Linked DNA regions of Macaca mulatta. The protein of the gene in region 1 interacts with the protein of each later gene in a pairwise test. Links are inferred from orthologs where the notes say so. Each region holds a gene or a part of one and is shown on either strand. Other genes may lie near its edges.

Evidence for each region. The genes of interacting proteins can lie anywhere in the genome.
Region 2: the proteins of CCHCR1 (region 1) and NUTM1 interact in binary tests that used the Homo sapiens proteins (3 or more experiments, as listed by UniProt). The link is inferred for Macaca mulatta from reciprocal best matches to the Homo sapiens genes CCHCR1 and NUTM1.
Region 3: the proteins of CCHCR1 (region 1) and STX11 interact in binary tests that used the Homo sapiens proteins (3 or more experiments, as listed by UniProt). The link is inferred for Macaca mulatta from reciprocal best matches to the Homo sapiens genes CCHCR1 and STX11.
Region 4: the proteins of CCHCR1 (region 1) and WASHC3 interact in binary tests that used the Homo sapiens proteins (3 or more experiments, as listed by UniProt). The link is inferred for Macaca mulatta from reciprocal best matches to the Homo sapiens genes CCHCR1 and WASHC3.

What each region holds. Positions count from the first base shown.
Region 1 is NC_133409.1:151,906,547-151,910,647, forward strand, and holds the start of CCHCR1 (coiled-coil alpha-helical rod protein 1), read left to right. Parts: upstream 1-1,284; 5' UTR 1,285-1,824; coding exon 1,825-2,040; exon of another isoform or gene 2,041-2,067; intron 2,068-2,276; exon of another isoform or gene 2,277-2,342; coding exon 2,343-2,409; intron 2,410-2,487; coding exon 2,488-2,701; intron 2,702-3,411; exon of another isoform or gene 3,412-3,441; intron 3,442-4,101. UniProt on the Homo sapiens protein: May be a regulator of keratinocyte proliferation or differentiation.
Region 2 is NC_133412.1:11,536,118-11,540,362, reverse strand, and holds the start of NUTM1 (NUT family member 1), read right to left. Parts: upstream 2,812-4,245; 5' UTR 2,279-2,811; coding exon 2,197-2,278; intron 1-2,196. Other genes in the region: NOP10 (H/ACA ribonucleoprotein complex subunit 3), read left to right, coding at 2,823-2,876, 3,786-3,926. UniProt on the Homo sapiens protein: Plays a role in the regulation of proliferation. Regulates TERT expression by modulating SP1 binding to TERT promoter binding sites.
Region 3 is NC_133409.1:49,410,915-49,415,180, forward strand, and holds the start of STX11 (syntaxin-11), read left to right. Parts: upstream 1-1,455; 5' UTR 1,456-1,550; intron 1,551-1,975; exon of another isoform or gene 1,976-2,282; intron 2,283-4,266. UniProt on the Homo sapiens protein: SNARE that acts to regulate protein transport between late endosomes and the trans-Golgi network.
Region 4 is NC_133416.1:109,366,381-109,370,685, forward strand, and holds the start of WASHC3 (WASH complex subunit 3), read right to left. Parts: upstream 2,812-4,305; 5' UTR 2,792-2,811; coding exon of another isoform or gene 2,741-2,791; 5' UTR 2,700-2,740; coding exon 2,556-2,699; intron 2,190-2,555; coding exon 2,091-2,189; intron 1-2,090. UniProt on the Homo sapiens protein: Acts as a component of the WASH core complex that functions as a nucleation-promoting factor (NPF) at the surface of endosomes, where it recruits and activates the Arp2/3 complex to induce actin polymerization, playing a key role in the fission of tubules that serve as transport intermediates during endosome sorting.

The sequences.
Region 1 (4,101 bases):
GCGCCGGGGGGAGGTCCTGTTATACACACGTCTACGTGCAGTACGAACACATCACCTCTGTGTAATTCGGAGAAGAGCAGCTTCTTCCTGTCAAACCTGCTTATCCTAATAGAGCACTCCCGCTTGCCTGCGCCCCGATCTTCTGGCCAATCCCTCACTCATAACTAGTTTGAACCTCCGAGGGCAATGAATCTACTGTCATCCCCCAAAAGGAAGTGCAAACGAGTTCTTAAGTACTCCAACAAATTGGACCTAAACCCCTACTTCCCGGCTTCTCTAGGTGGGATAAAAACAGGAAGGGGTAGGCCGGGCGCGGTGGCTCAAGCCTGTAATCCCAGCACTTTGGGAGGCCGAGACGGGCGGATCACGAGGTCAGGAGATCGAGACCATCCTGGCTAACACGGTGAAACCCCGTCTCTACTAAAAAATACAAAAAACTAGCCGGGCGAGGTGGCGGGCGCCTGTAGTCCCAACTACTCGGGAGGCTGAGGCAGGAGAATGGCGTGAACCCGGGAGGCGGAGCTTGCAGTGAGCTGAGATCCGGCCACTGCACTCCAGCCTGGGCGGCAGAGCGAGACTCCGTCTCAAAAAAAAAAAAAAAAAAAAAAAAAAAAAAAAAAAAACAGGAAGGGGCTCCCCGCGATCATGCAAGGCATACCCGGCCTTTTCCCTCTCGGCCCCAGCCCCGTTTCGGATCTACCAGCGGGGTGCAGTCTCCGAGTAGCCTCCTCTTCAAGCAGTGCCAGCCTGTGCCGCGGGTCCCGGGACCCCCTGGGCTCCTCGGCTGGAGCCGATACTGCTGCAGCTGTTTGACAGCCAGGAAGCCGGGGCCAGGAGGGGCGCGGCCTCGGCGCGCGGGCAGCGCCTACCCCTCCTTCGGAATTCCCGGGCCCGAACTTCGCGCCGAGCGAGCCCGCCCCCGTGCCGTTTCTGATTGGCCAGCTCATTTGCTCTCTTCCGCGCCATTGGACGGCTCCCTAAGATCTCCCGCCTTCCGCTTTTTCTGATTAGTTCACAAGTTTTCCCGGGTTCCCGCAGTGGGGAGGAGCCGCCTGGGCGCGGAGATGCGTCGACACATTCTGTGGGCCCAGATTTAGACGCCACTGCGCCTGCGTACACCTTTCCTCCTCCCTACAGTGAGGTAGGACCTTAGGGCGCCCGCCTTGCGCAGGCGCGGTCAGAGGCCGAGGCAGAGGCGGGGCCCGGAGCGAGGCGTAGGGGGTGTGGTCAAGGCGCAGTAGGGGTTCTCGCGGTGGGTAAGGGACGTTCGGGAAGAGTCGGTTGTGGGCGGGAAGGGGCTGAGCGGGGGTGCTGGGAGGGTTCAAGGGGTCCAAAGGGGAAGGGGGAACAGGGGCCAGGTGAAGGGGTAGATGAGGAGATCAGAACAGCCTTAGAGCTCAGGGGCCAACTGGGTGAACAGCCTTGGGTATCTAGGGGAGCAGTGGGGGGAGAGCAGAGCCGGCTAGCGTACAGGGGGCGAGAGCAGACTATTGAGAGATGGGGGTGAGGGTGAGGACCAGAACAATTCCTTCAGAAAAAAGTAGATTAGGATGTAAAAAGGGACCGGAGTAGGGATCCCAGATTCGGGTAAAAAATAGATTAATGAGGGTGGGAGGGTGGGGGGAAGGTCTTAAAGTGCCCACTATGTGTTAGGACTCGAGAAAGAGGAGGCGGGCGGCAGGCATGGAAGCTGAGGGGATAGTAGAGAGAAGCTGAGAGGACAGCCGCAGGAAAGATTTGGATGAGATGTCAGGACGCTGGCTTTTCTGCCTGGGGATCTAGGCTGCTTGGATTCCCAAGGTCTTGGGAAGGGTCTAGCCCTGCATGTGGCCACATTCAGCTGGGGCCAGGCCTTGGGCCAGCACTTTAATAGGGAAGGACCCAAGAGTCATGGCCTGGTGGTGTCTGGATGGGATTCCCCCAGGCCTTGCTGAGCCATGGAGAGAACTCTGGAGATGGCGCTCAAGACCCCTGCACTGTGTACCTCCTTTCTCACCTCTGGCCAGGGGCAGCAGGGACCATAGAAACTTAAGGAGGAGGGTAAAGGCACTGCCCAGAATCCTGAAAGTATGAGTAAAGCCTCAGAGCCCCTCTCGGTCTGTCTTTTTCAGTAAATTCTCTCCACTTGATAGTTAGTTGCCTGGGTTCCCTGAGGAACCAGGTTGAGACAAGCAAGTGAATTTGGGGTATCTCCTACTTCTTTGGGGAAGTAGGAAAAGAGCTGAGCATCGGGTGGACCTGGCTGTAATTCAAGGATTATGACTTTGTTATTGTAGGGGCTTTCTCTTTGGAAGGTGGCCTGAAAATTGAATTGGAGTGTCTTTGTTTCTCCTATTGTCCAGGGGAACATAGATGGCTGGAGACAGAATCTAGAGCCTTCAAATAATGTGGAGATGTTTCCACCTTCAGGTCAGTGGGACCAGACAAGGGGAGTGGTGGTTGTCTCTGCCTGGGAAACTGACCATCTTTGATTTTGTAATTCTTCAGGTTCCACTGGGCTGATTCCTCCCTCCCATTTTCAAGCTCGGCCCCTTTCAACTCTGCCGAGAATGGCTCCCACCTGGCTCTCAGACATTCCCCTGGTCCAACCCCCAGGCCATCAAGATGTCTCAGAGAGGCGACTAGACACCCAGAGACCTCAAGTGACCATGTGGAAACAGGATGTTTCCAGTGACAGGCAGGAGCCAGGGCGGAGAGGCAGGTAGGGATCCATCCTCGCTGTTTTCTCAGGCTGGCTTGCTAGTGACCCTTCTTCACTGGAATAAACTCCTTACCCTATTTCGGCCCTAGTTTCCAGAACCTACTCATTTTTATGCAAGCAATTATTAGTTCCTGCAGTGCTTAGATAATAAAGCAGTGTGCTAGGTGCTAGGGATGAGGATAACAATAATGAATAAGACAAATCCTGACTTAAATTTGTAATTAATAAGGAATCTAAAATCTTAAGAGGGGAGATAGATTGACCATCAACTGATGGTAAAGCATAGTATGAGGCAAGATGAAGAAGTGCAAACTAGAAGTAGAGACCCAGCACTGTGGCAGTGTGGGTTCATTCTGATGGAAGAAAGCCTTTACAGAGGACATGCTATGGGAGCTGGCCATGCTGTCGTATTGTCTGTAAACATTCTTATTCTTGTTGTTTCATGTGTCTTCCCAGATGTACTGGGATAGCATTCTGCCATTTTGCTCTAGAGTAGGATTACATTAGAAGCAGCAGCACAATGAAGAAGAAGGAGCACTAGACTGGGTGTCAGGAGACAGAGACTCTATTTCTAGTTTGGCTACCAGCTAGAGGACATTTGGCAAGTCAATTTCCCTAGCCTACAGATCCCTGATACTTAAAGAAAGAAAGAAAATAAAGAAAAGGCCAGGTATGGTGGCTCACACCTATACTCCTAGCACTTTGGGAGCTGAGGCAGGAGAATCACTTGAGCCCAGGAGTTCAAGACCAGCCCGGGCAACAAAGCGAGACTTCGTCTCCACAGAAAATAATTAGCTAGCTGTGGTGACATGCATTTGTAGTCCCAGCTACTCGGGAGGCTAAGGTGGTAGGATCACTTGAGCTCAGGAGTTGAAGGCTGCAGTGACCTATGATCCAGCCACTGCATTGAGGCCTGGGTGACACAGTGATACCCTGTCTCTAAAAACAACAACAACAATCTCCTGTGGTCCTGGGTGTCAGAGAGACAGCTGCCTCAGGAGCCACGTTCCAAGCTAGATTAAACTTCACATGATATTGGTAGACAATGTCTCCAAAGGCTGGCACTATGTTATTTATGTACTGTTCTCTCAGACTCCTCATAAAGTATACCTAACACTCAATAAATGCATTTTAACTAGCACCTGGCCTCACCATATTGATACTGGAAGCTCAGCTCTCTCTATGCCCATTCCTCCCTCAAACTTCTTGCCCTTAAATCAGAATTGAGAAGTCTCTGTTCTTCCAACCTTTCCACTTAAAATGTGTGGCCTAAAAATAAAAAATAAATAAGACAAAAAAACACCAAAAAACAAAAAGAATGTGTGGCCTAATGATATACACATTTGATGTTGAATCTGTCTGTATGTAGCTCTCTCTAGGGAGATCATGTTCCATCATCT
Region 2 (4,245 bases), on another chromosome or scaffold:
TAGAATATGGAACTCAAGGCAGTCTGCTGTGGGGGAGGGGAGAGGGAAAAGTGGGGTGAGGGTGGGGAGAGATATTCCATGAAGGGTTCTAGTAACTACGCAAAAACCAGGAATTCCCTTCAAACTACAGTTTGGCAACACAACTGATGTTCGCCCTTTAGGGCTATTTGTAAATTCTTTCTCAGATTCCCAACACATTACTGTTTTGAGTTTGGTTCCCTATACTTCAATTCTTCACCAACATATCTCATTTTGTGTCCTTCCATCCCAGCCAGTTCTGTAACTGACTTCCTATTAACAGCAGGTCGATGGTAGACCCCTGACTTAATCCAATGATGGCTATATTTTCTGAACTAAATTCAGACCACATTGGTCTGTATACTTAAGGATCAAGGGAACTAAAGTCTAAAATTAGAATTGTCAGATGATCCAAGGTGCTCGATTGCTGTGTGCACATCATTTCCTTGGAAAGCTGTCCAATCTACTAGCATAGGCTCTGTACTCCACAGAAGCCTTACCCTTTGCTGAAAAGCCTCACTAAATAAAAAAGCTGCCATGCAGTTTAAAACCTCAAGAGTAGAAAGTCCTTCGTTTTGTTAAATTATTTTGGTTTAAATTTTAAAAATAAAATGTATCTGCTAAGGTTCCTGGTGACTATTTCAGGCCAGTAATTCCCAGACCATCCTCTACAGCCACAGCTTCATCCAAACGTGGATTTCCCCCAAAAGACCTTCCCTGGGGTTCATGGCGTCTTTCTTGCTTTCTCTGAGATATCTTTTCTCTTTTCTAAAGACTCTTTCATTAATAAGACCTGAAGGCTGAAATCATCCTTTTCCTTTCTAACAAAATTAACTACTTAGACATACTTTTTTTTTTTTTTTTTTGAGACAGAGTCTTGCTTTGTCGCCCAGGTTGGAGTGCAGTGGCATGATCTCTGCTCACTGCAAGCTCTGCCTCCCGGGTTCACACCATTCTCCTGCCTCAGCCTCCTGAGTAGCTGGGACTACAGGCGCCCGCCACCACACCCGGCTAATTTTTCTATTTTTAGTAGAGACGGGATTTCACTGTGTTAGCCAGGATGGTCTCGATCTCCTGACCTCATGATCCACCCACCTCAGCCTCCCAAAGTGCTGGGATTAGAGGTATGAGCCACCGCGCCCGGCCTTTAAAAAATTTTTAACAGGTAATACATCAGCAAGGTTCAAAAATCAAACTACAAAATAAAATACATAGCAATAAGTCTGCCTCCCACCCCTTACCCCTTTCTCCTGTAACTAGGTTCTCTATCTCAGAGGAAACCAGTATCATCTGTTTCTTGTGAATACTTGCAGAGATTTTTTATTCAACTACAAGTAAATACAAACCATATCTTTTTTTTTTTTTTGGGACAGGGTCTCTTGCTCTGTCACCCAAGCTGGAGACCAGTGGCGTGATCTCAGCTCACTGCAACCTCCGCCTCCCGGGTTCAAGCGATTCTCCTGCCTCAGCCTCCCGAGTAGCTGGGACTACAGGTGACCGCCAGCACGTCCCGCTAATTTTTGTATTTTTATTAGTAAAGACGGGGTTTCACCATATTGGCCAGGCTGGTCTTGAACTCCTGACCTTGTGATCCACCTGTCTCGGCCTCTCAAAGTGCTGGGATTACAGGCCTGAGCTACTGCACCCGGTCACAAACCATATTCTTTTTTTCAGACGGAGTGCCACTCTGTCACCCAGGCTGGTGTGCAGTGGCGCTATCTCAGCTCGCTGCAACCTCTGCCTCCCCGGCTCAAATGACTCTCCTGCCTCAGCCTCTGAAGTGGCTGGGACTACAGGCGCCCACCACCACACTCAGCTAATTTTTTCTGTATTTTTAGTAGAGACGGGGTTTCGCCAGATTGGCCAGGCTGGTCTCGAACTCTTGACCTTGTGATCCGCCCGCCTCAGCCTCCAAAAGTGTTGAGATTACAGGCGTGAGCCAACGCGCCCGGCCAAACCATATTCTAAAAAAAAAAAAACCTTGCAGGTTTTTCTGGTTACACAACATATATGCCAACGCTTTTGTCATTATAAATAAGGCGTAATGATGATCTTTGTAATTATATTTTGGTTCTCATTTTCATTTCTTTAAACGAATAAGGAGAACTTCTATATTCTTTAAAAAATTGTAAAATCTCCTAGAAGGTGCACTTTATTACGCTATTATTAGCTACTCACCACTATAAGAAAGAGCGCTGAATTTGCGGTAGGGACCTAAGTTTAAATCTTGGTTCGACCGCTGAAACATACTTCGTTTCATAAAATAACTTTACGCTATTTTCGCTTTACGGAATATTGATACTCAACATGCATTCTTTACCGCCAACGCTTTGAAATGGAGCAGGGAAACTGGATGTAAAAGAGGGGAGGGAAGAAAACCTCTTCCTTCTTCCCTAGGGCAAAGGGGCTCTGAATCCTGGAGCCCTTGTTTCTTCAGGCACTGGAAACTCACTGCTCCTGAAAGGGGTGTGTATCTTGAGATAAAGACAAGCTTCTATACGTCAATGTTCTATCCACATCCATCCCTACCCCCCTCTAGCGCCGTGTACCTAGCACACAGTAGGCACACTCCACGTGTTTTAGCCTGCAAAGTTGCAAGTGTGGCCCCCCAAGCCAAGCCCTGCCCTCGTGCGCCCCCTTCTGGCTAGCTGAAAATAAGGCAAAAATTGACTACATTTTCCGGCGTGCCAGGAGAGAGACTTCCGGCTATGCAGGAAGGAAATTGACGAACACGTGACGCGGTCGGGCGGACCCCTGCAGACGGAGCAGCGGAGCGAATTGGGACCTCTGGCTTACGAGCAGTCATGTTTCTCCAGTATTACCTCAACGAGGAGGGAGATCGGGTCTATACGCTGAAGGTGAGGAGAGAAAATAGGTTGTAAATAGGCATGGCGAGAAATGTAGATGGGAGGAATGGGTGAGGCCATACACGGAGTTACCTAGCTGGGTGGAGGGAACCAGAAAGTGCAGAACCGAGGTGGGGGAGAACCGGGAGCGCGCGACGAATTTTTTATTTTAAAAAAACAAAATTGGCCGGGCGCAGTGGCTCACGCCTGTAATCCTAGCACTTTGGGAGGCCGAGGCGTGTGGATTACCTTAGCTCAGGAGTTAGAGACTATTCTGGGCAACACGGTGAAACTACGTTTCTACTAAAATACAAAAATTAGCCGGGCGTGGCGGCGTGCGCCTGTTTTCCCAGCTACCTGGGAGGCTGAGACAGGAGAATCGCTTAAACCCGGGAGGCGGAGCTTGCAGTAAACCCGGATAGCGCCATTGCACTCACTTTTCTTTTTTTTCTTTTTTTTTCTTTTTTTTTTTAAGACAGGGACTCGCTTTGTTGCCTAGGCTGTAGTGCCTCGGCTCACTGCAACCTCCGCCTCCTGGGCACAAACAATCTTCCTGCCTCAGCCTCCCGAGTAGCTGGGACTACAGGCGTGCGCCACCACACCTGGCTAATTTTTGGTTTAGGGTTTTTTTGTTTGGTTGGTTGGTTTTGTTTGTTTGTTGTAGAGACGAGGTTTCGCCATATTGCCCAGGCTGGTCTCAAACTTCTGACCTCAAGCCATCCTCCTGCCTCGGCCTCCCAAAGTGCTGGGATTACAGGCGTGAGCCACCGCGCCCAGCCTTTTTAAGTTTTGTATTTCTCTATTTATTTGTACAACTTTTTGAGCTGATCATTGCATCTTCTGTTTTCATGTTTGCCCTTTTTCGCGCTGTCCCCACCCCATCACTCCTGTACTGACATACATTCTCTATTCCCGGAGCAGAAATTTGACCCGATGGGACAACAGACCTGCTCAGCCCATCCTGCTCGGTTCTCCCCAGATGACAAATACTCTCGACACCGAATCACCATCAAGAAACGCTTCAAGGTGCTCATGACCCAGCAACCGCGCCCTGTCCTCTGAAGGCCCCTTAAACTGATGTCTATTCTGCGGCCTGTTACCCCTCGGAGACTCCGTAACCAAACTCCTCAGTCTGTGAGCCCTGATGCCTTTTTGCCAGCCATACTCTGTGGCATCCAGTCTCATCCTGGTGATTGAGCATGCTTGTGTGAGGCAGTCATGGTGGCATCACCCATAAAGGGAACACGTTTGACTTTTTTTTTCGTATTTTAAGTTACTACCAGATTATTAAAGATAAAATGATTTGAAAAGCTCTTATTTTGTGTTGTTGGAGGAAAGGATTGGTAGTATTGTTTTAAAGGGAGGGAGATGATGGACGAGA
Region 3 (4,266 bases), about 100 Mb from region 1:
CCTTTCCACATTGTACTATTTTGGAGGAAGTCACTGTGCACAGCCTAGGGTAGATGATCTACATAAATTATTTGGAATTATTCTGTATAGGAGATTTGTCTCCTCTCTGCCATTTATTCATTTATTTATTTATTTATATCAGTGTAGACTCATGGATATTTTTTACTTTGGTTTGTAATCCAGTACTACTTTGTTCAGTTTACTTCGTTGCTCAGTGGTTCCATCTTTGGCAACTGGGAGCTCTTTCAGGTGGTTCCTGTGTTTAAACATTCTCCCATCAAGACAGGATTCGTTTATTTTTATTTTTTATTTTTTTTCTTCTCATTCAATTGAGGCAGCGTCTCATTCTGTCGCCCAGGCTGGAGTGCAGTGGCGCGATCTCGGCTCACTGCATCCTTGGCCTCCCGGCCTCAAGTGATCCTCCCACCTTAGCCTCCCGCGTAGCTGGGCTCACAGCGCGTGCCACCACGCCCAGTTAATTTTTTTTTATTTTTTGTAGAGATAGGCTTTCACCATATTGCTCTGGCTGGTCTCAAATTTCTGGGCTCAAGAGATCCGCCCCCTTCGGCCTCCCAAAGTGTTAGGATTACGGGCATGAGCTACCGCGCCCGGCCCGATTTTTCCTTTCTTGAGTATCACTTCCTTACTTTTCAGCCTCAGCCTTGTTTTTCAAGGTGCTTTACCATCACCTGACACAATCCACACTTTATGTTTATCTCTCCCCGTTAAAGTGCCGGGACCTGGAGGGAGGGTCTTGGCAGTGTTTTTGAGCGCGGTGTTATCCTGGGAATACAAGGGGCCGCTCAGTTGATATCCAGGGAATGATGAGCCTGGCGGGTGTTGAGGCCGACTGGAGATGGGTTGGCCGGCCGGGTTCTGGGAAGGCTGTGCTCGGCCTCTGTGTGACCGCAGGCTCCTCGCCCGCCTCCTCGAGGGTCCCGCGGATGCAGGACCTGCTGCAGCCTCCGCAGCCACACCCACGCTCAGAGACCGCTTCCAGCGTCCTTGCCGCAGAAACGCACCGGACTGCAAATGTCACCGGCGCAGCGGGGATTCCCGGGGAAAGTCCATCGCACTCCCTGACCTGGGGACCAGAGGATGAGCGGAGGAAGTGTCTTGGGCGGCTAACATCCCACTCCCTGCGCCGGTCTGCGCCGCCCCCGGGAACGCCCCGGGGCTCGCGGGAGGGGCTGGAGCGAGTCCCCGGCTCCGGGCGGTCCCGAGCGCACGGACTCCGGGTGGGGCGGGAACCCGTGCTCTGTGAGCCGGCTGCTGCCGCGCCCCGGCGCTGTCATCCCGGGGCGGGGCCTGGTCCCCAGCTGTGGTAGCTTCCTAAGCGGCGGGGGCTGAGCCGGCGGCGCCCAGATGCGGCCGCGGCGGCGCGGAGCTCGGGCGGCTGTGGAGGAGCCCAGCCTCGGCCGCAGGAGGCGCCGGGAGCAGAGCCGCCGGGAGTCGCGCAACAGGTTTCCTTCCCCATCGCGGCGCCCACAGGGGACGCGCGCCCTGCGGGGAGAGAGGCTTCTCAGTTCGCGCTCTCGTTCCGGGTCCAGGTTTGTTTTTCTCTCCCTGAGCCCCCATTTCTCTTTCTGACCCCCCATTTCTCTTCCTGACCCCCCATTTCTCTTCCTGACTATTCCCCGTGCGCTGAGAGATCCGGGAGGCGGGCGGGGGCACTGTCTGGGCTCGGGACCCGCGGCTGCGCCTTAGTTGGGATTTTGGATCTGGCGCAGGTCCTCACGCCGCCTCTGGGCACCTTCGGAAACACAGGATTGGGTTCCTCATATAAAGCGGAATGATTTTTTAAAATTACTTTTAATTTCAGAGGCTGAGGGATTTAGGATTTAGTGCTTCACAGGAATTATTTTAGGGATACCTGTCGGTAGGCTGCCTTTTTAAAGTGTCCACCTAAGACTATTTTATTTTAAATCGAAAGACTGAAGTGTTTTTGTGTTATCACCTCTTCACTTCCTATTAGGGTGACTGTGTCAAAAACACCAGAATGGGTACTTCTTGACTTGAACTTGGCAGTGTCACTCAGTAGCCAAGAAAGACGGAGAAATTGATAGAGCCTTGGAGCAGTCCCTTCGCAGCCCACGTAAGACTTTGTTTTAGAAAAATGGAGAGAAGTAGTGGCAATGCCTGCGAGAACCACGCCGTCCTGAGAGGGAATTCTGCCTTTTTCTAGACTCCGCTGACACCAGCTGAGATCTGTATTACTTCCTGTGGTTCTCACGCGCTTGTTTCAGCCGTTTCTCAGCAAAGGGAGGAGCTGTTATTTACAGGTATCCAAAAATGAGTCACAGGGCTGCTCTCTTAATTGTGAGACTTTGTTAATGAACTTTTGAAAAGCGAGGCTTGCTCTGTCTGTATTTAAAATGAGACTGTAGATGTGAAATGCCTGCCCTGCTGACCTGGGGCAGTGGTATGGGAAGTGACGATTGAGTTTTCAGTTTCCTAAGGCGCCTGATGTTACAACATGCCAGTAAAGGTCACTGGGTTGATTTAAGATAACCACTAAAATCATGTGCTTTGCCTCAGAAGCCCAGGAGAAAATTAATTTCATTATTCAATGACCATTTTGCTACCATTTTCACTGAATAGTAGAAATGTATCATTTAATGTGGTGATTGTAACTCTCTAAAATCAAAATATTTCAGACAGTGTGTGTTTACTAAATTGATGCCAAAACCACATGGTGCTTTTTGAAGCGGGTGGGTCCCAGCGGGAGCAGAGAAATTTAAAAGTTGAAGCTGACAGGCCCCACTGTGGTGGGTAGCAGCACCTAGGAAGGGACTGCACACTATCTCAACACGGTAGAGAAGGGAGCACCATCTCTACTGGAGCTGAGTTGAGCTGAATTCAGTCCCAAACAACAGTTAACAGGTACTTTCTCTGTGCCAGCCTCTTCCCTGAACCTTGCTTGTACAACCATGAATAATAGGATCCTGCTGACAAGGTGCTAGGGTAAATCTATACCCAGAGTGAAGTTTCTGTCCCAATATAACTCAATCTGCTGGGTTCCAGTGTATTTAAAGAGTAAACTCAGCAGATTACCATCCCTAGATCATTGCAGTCACCTTTAGTTAGCAGCGTGACTTTTAGGAAATGGTATGACTAATTAATAGGTTGTTTTGTTTTGTTTTTTGAGACAGAGTCTTACTCTCTTGCCCCACACGGGAGTGTAGTGGTGCAATCTTGGCTCACTGCAACCTCCTCCTCCTGCGTTCAAGCAATTCTCGTGTTTCAGCCTTCCAAGTAGCTGGGACTACAGGCACCCACAACACCCAGCTGACTTTTGTATTTGTAGTAGGGACAAGTTTGGCCCTGTTGACCAGGCTGGTCTCGAACTACTGACCTCAGGTGATCTGCTTGCCTTGGCCTCCCAAAGTGCTGGTATTGCAGATGTGAGCCACCATGCCCTGCCTAATACTTTATAAATTTGTAACACTATATTGAAGCAAGTTTTTGATCATTGTTTTTGTAGTTCAAATCAATGTTTTTTAGCACATTATAGCCTTGTGAGCCAAAATGAATAAATCTACCATATCACAGTTTACTGTTACAATTGAAATCTGCTGAGACACTTTTGAACTTGATGCCCAAGTATCAAGGTTTCCAAGTTTCCACAGTTTGCTAAGATATCCAACTAATAAAGGCAACACTGCTAAATTTCAGACAACTTTACCTTAATTTCCAAACTTTATTCCTCCTTTGAAAGCCCTGAAGTTACTTTTTCTATGACAAAGGGTTGAGTGTGTCATTCAGCATTGTACTCCCTGAACTTGTCCCAGGCTCGACTCATGAGAAGTGTTGGAAAGTGTCATTCAGCATTGTACTCCCTGAACTTGTCCCAGGCTCGACTCATGAGAAGTGTTGGAAAGTGTTTATTGATGAAATAATGAACCTTCATGTAGGAGGATGAATTGGCAGGCAAGTGGAAGGCTCAGTGACCCAGCAGAAGGAACAGCACCCATAGAGAAGTGAAACAGCACTGGACATTCAGGAAACTCCAGCCTGTTTAGTGACAGCACAGAGCGAGGGCTGGGGAGACAGGAAGGGCCAGATCACAAAGGCCCCATGAGGGTTTATAGTACTGAGCCCTTTGAACAAGTGAATGATATTGTCAGGTGTGTGTTTAAAAAATTATAACAAAAATTGGAATTTAAAAAATCTTAGATTAGATGACAGTGGCATTGACTTTAGGGAGACACCTTGGAAACTGTTGTCATATTGCAGATGGGACATTAAAGAAGGCCTGAATCGAGC
Region 4 (4,305 bases), on another chromosome or scaffold:
AGGTTATTTAATAATCCCATTGTTTTGATGATTCTAAAGATTATAAGTTTATTTTTACAGTCTACTCTTAAATATTACTGTTGAGGCATATATACAGCAATGGTGGACTTAATTCTGCCTAAGATATCTGAGCATCTGTACTAAAATATGAAGCTACCTTCATTTGGTTGGTATGCTAAAGAAATTTTGTAAGTATCTCATTTTTAAAAAATTTGGTTTGTGTGTTCTGTGTGCTCAGGAATTTTTCCACAGTACCAGAGATCACTGTAGTGATTAAATTTGACCCTTTTGACAGAAAACAGAATAATAGATTCCTAGGGATAAAAAAGGGGTGACTGCAAAGGAACATGAGGTAATTTTTGGAGTGATTCTACACCTTGTTCTACAACTATTCTACATCTTGATTATGTTATGATTATGAATTTGTCAAATCTCATACTTAACGGTAAATTTTAGTGAATATAAGCTCATACTTAAATAAACATGACTTTACAATTAAAACAAAAGAAATATGAAGGCTCATAAGAGACTGCTATGACCAATTATATGCCAACAGATTGGATAACCTAGAATGGATAAGTTCCTAGACACATACAACCTATCAAGACTAAATCATAAAGAAATAGGTAATCTGAACAGACCGATAATAAGAGATCAAATCAGTAGTTAAGTCTCCCACTAAACAAAACCCCCCGGACCTGATGGCTTCACTACTGAATTCTACCAAACATTTAAAGAAGAACTAATACAAATCCTTCTCAAATTCTTCCAAAATACTGAAGAGGAGGGAAAATTTTCAAACTCAATTTAGGAGACCAGCATTATCCTGATTCCAAAGCCAAACAAATACACTACAAGAAAAGAAAACCAAAGGTCAATATCTCCAATGAACATAGAAGCAAAAATCCTCTACAAACTCTAATTGCTAAGGCTATACCTTACATAAGGCAGAATGTTCAACAGACTTACTTGTGAATTATCTAAGCCCCATAATTTACTTTTCTTTCCTTAAATGCAATTTCAGCCCATGGTTCCCATTGTCCTCCCCATCTTCTTTTTTGGCTTTTTAAAAGACAGGGAGTCCCTGGATCCTGGATCTTGTACCTATCCCCTTTTTTAAAACAAAAACAAAACACTGAGTTTCTCTATGTTGTCCAGGCTCGTCTCAAACTCCTGGGCACAAGTGATCCTCCTGTCTCTGCCTCCCGAGTAGCTGGGATTACAGGTGCACACTACTGTGCCAGCTCTGGCACCTGGTCCCTAGTTGGATACTTAATCCTTACAAGTCATTTGCAGAAAATATTTTTATTTCTATAATCATATTTGATGCCAAAGTTATGTTTCCAGCCTATCTCCTCTAGCCATCTTTTAGATTCGGAATGTAAAATAAATTTAATATAAACAATGTGGTTTTGGGGTACGAGAACGAATAACAAATAGCAAAATAAAAACTATTTTGGGGTACGAGAACGAATAACAAATAGCAAAATAAAAACTATTTTCAACTAATTTTAGAAGTTGGGCACGGTGCCTCGGGCCTGTAATCCCAGCACTTTGGGAGGCTGAGGCTGGTAGATCGCCTGAGGTCAGGAGTTCGAGACCAGCCTGACCAACATGGTGAAACCCCCGTCTCTACTAAACACAAAAAATTAGCCAGACATGGTGGCGCATGCCTGTAATCCCAGCCACTCAGGAGGCTGAGACAGGAGAATCGCTTGAACCCGGGAGGCGGAGGTTGCAGTGAGCCGAGATCGCGCCACTGCGCTCTAGCTTGGGTGATAGAGTTAGACTCTGTCTAAAAAAAAAAAAAGAAAAAAAAGAAATTTTAGATTTCCTATTGTTCTCTTTAATCGCAGTAAGCCTGACTGAACTATCTCACAAGGACCTCTAGAACACTAATTCAGTAGAGGAGGGTTGCAAGATTGATTGTAACAGAGTAAAAGAGAACTTAAGGTGTGTTAACACAATTGGGTGACAAGAGGTCATGATACATGAATAAAGACTGTAATTCTTGTTTTACTCCATTTGTCAATCTCAGCAGTGCAAGGTGACTTCTAGGCGACTCTATAAACCAGTATCACAGGACCTACCTCCTCACAAACTGTAGAAAAGCGGTTGAGGAACTGTACAGTGTGCACCACAAATTGGTTTAGAAAAGCCACCGTTCTTTTCTGTTGAATAGCTGGCACCTGTGTTACGTAAAAACAAACATGGTTCATACAGGAGGAACGTACACAGTGCAAACCTTTTCATATTTGGAAATAATCACGAGGCACTTTGCTGTGTGATACGAATTTCTTGAAGGACTGGGAATAGTCATTAACTTGTTTTCCTAAACTGTAGGTGGGGTGTCCGAAGACAACAGAGGTGCATAAAAGTTTGAGAACAGGCTCTAGACTCACTGGGACGAATTTTGGCAGGCAGAAGCAACACACATAAACACACACAAAAACTTGGGGGCTGAAAAAGAGGTAGGGCTAGCTATCACAACCGGCGTCTATCGCCGGCGGCACAGAGACACGAAAGATGGGAAGCGAAAGTTGGGAGATGCACACCGTCTCCTTAATCAGTTCAAGAGGGACCCCATTTGAAGGTGGACTGCGGAGCTCTCCCTCCTGAGGCCGGCAGAAGGGCCCGGGGCCGTGACAGAGTGGGGACCCGGAAGGTGTGGTCTCCCCGGGAAGCTGCGTCTTCCCCATCCTCCTCCCGGTGGAGGAGTTTAGTATCGTCTTTTACAAACCTTGGTCAGGTCTATGCCTGACCCCATGAGAGGAAGCCCGTCCTCATCCATCTCCTCTGCGGGCGGGAGACCCCGAGTTCACCCACAAACCCCTCCCAGATGGGGCCCGACCAACCCGGTAATCGCGTCTCAACTTTCCCCCCAAGTCCCCGCCTCCGGGGCCCTTCCCGCCGGAAGAAAATGCCTCCGCTCACTAATCACTCGGCGACTTCCGGAGAGCCCGCCTCCTCGCTCGGCATTCTGGGATTGGTAGTTTTAGTCCAGATTGTGACGTCAATTTCGCGATGGTGCAAGGATGCAGTTATAGCAGTAAAATCTTAGGAGGCAAACAAAACAAAACAAAGCCAGAAGTTGCGTCCCTTTGAGGTTACCCCTACTTAGTCCTGTCTGTTATATAACGGCTCCGTCATTCCTTGAGCAACAATTTTTTTTTTTTTTTAATCCTAAGTGTCATATATACTCTGCTAGGCTTTTACTGTGAAAACAAAGATTGAGTTTGATTGCTGCATTGGGGAGGTTTATGCTCTGAAGAATGAGAAATAAGACCTACTTCCAAAGGGTGTGTGTGTATATACACACCAGTTCCCAGGCTGGTCTCGAACTCCTGACCTCAAGCGATTCTCCTGCCTCAGCCTCCCAGAGTGCTGGGATTACAGTCGTGAGCCAACCCGCCTGGCCTTCCAAAGGTTTTTAAAACGTGAAATAAAACGTCAACTACTAGAGGTGAGGCACAAACCTACGGAAGTGACTGCCATTTACAGGGAGCATGGAAAAGATGAAGACCAAGTTGGCAGCTTTAAAATGGGGGTCTTGCTGTGTCACCCAGTCTGGTGTGCGGTGAGGATTATAGCTCACCGTAGTCTCAAACCCCTTGGCTCAAATGATCTTCATGCCTTGGCCTCCCTAAGCACTGGGATTATAGGTGTGAGCCGCTGGCACCTGGCCCTGTTGGTTTGGTTGAAGCAAGTAATCCCATACATGGAGAATGGTAGGAAATGAGGTAAGAGTGCTACCGGTGGAGGGTGTCCAGGTTCTTGACGTTTTGAACAAAGAATTGGACAAAATGCACAAAGCAAGGAAAGAATGAACCAAGAAAAGCAAAGATTTATTGAAAACCAAAGTACTCTCCACAGTGTACTGGATACAGAATCTTCTTAGGTCCAAATACCCGCTAGAGATTTCCCATTGGCCACTGGTGTTCTCCTCATGCAAATGAAGTGGTGGCCACAATCAGTATGATTGGTTGTGGAAAGCAACCAATCAGAGGCTGAAGTAAAGTTACAAAGGTCACACTCCTATACAAACATCTGATTGGTTGTGGAAAGCAACCAATCAGAGGCTAAAGTGATGTTACTAAGTTGCACTTCTATGCAAAGGAAGATTTGGTCCGCAATCAGTCTGATTGGTTGAGGTACCTTCAATTTCCATCTGCCTGTCAGAAAAGGTGGGGATTTGCAAAGGGAGTAGCCGCTGCTCCTTTTGTTACTTAGGTGTGGAAATTTGGGGTTTACCTTTTGATTTAGTTCTAGGAAGTCAGCGTGAATTGGCCTTAGGTGCCCTGCCTC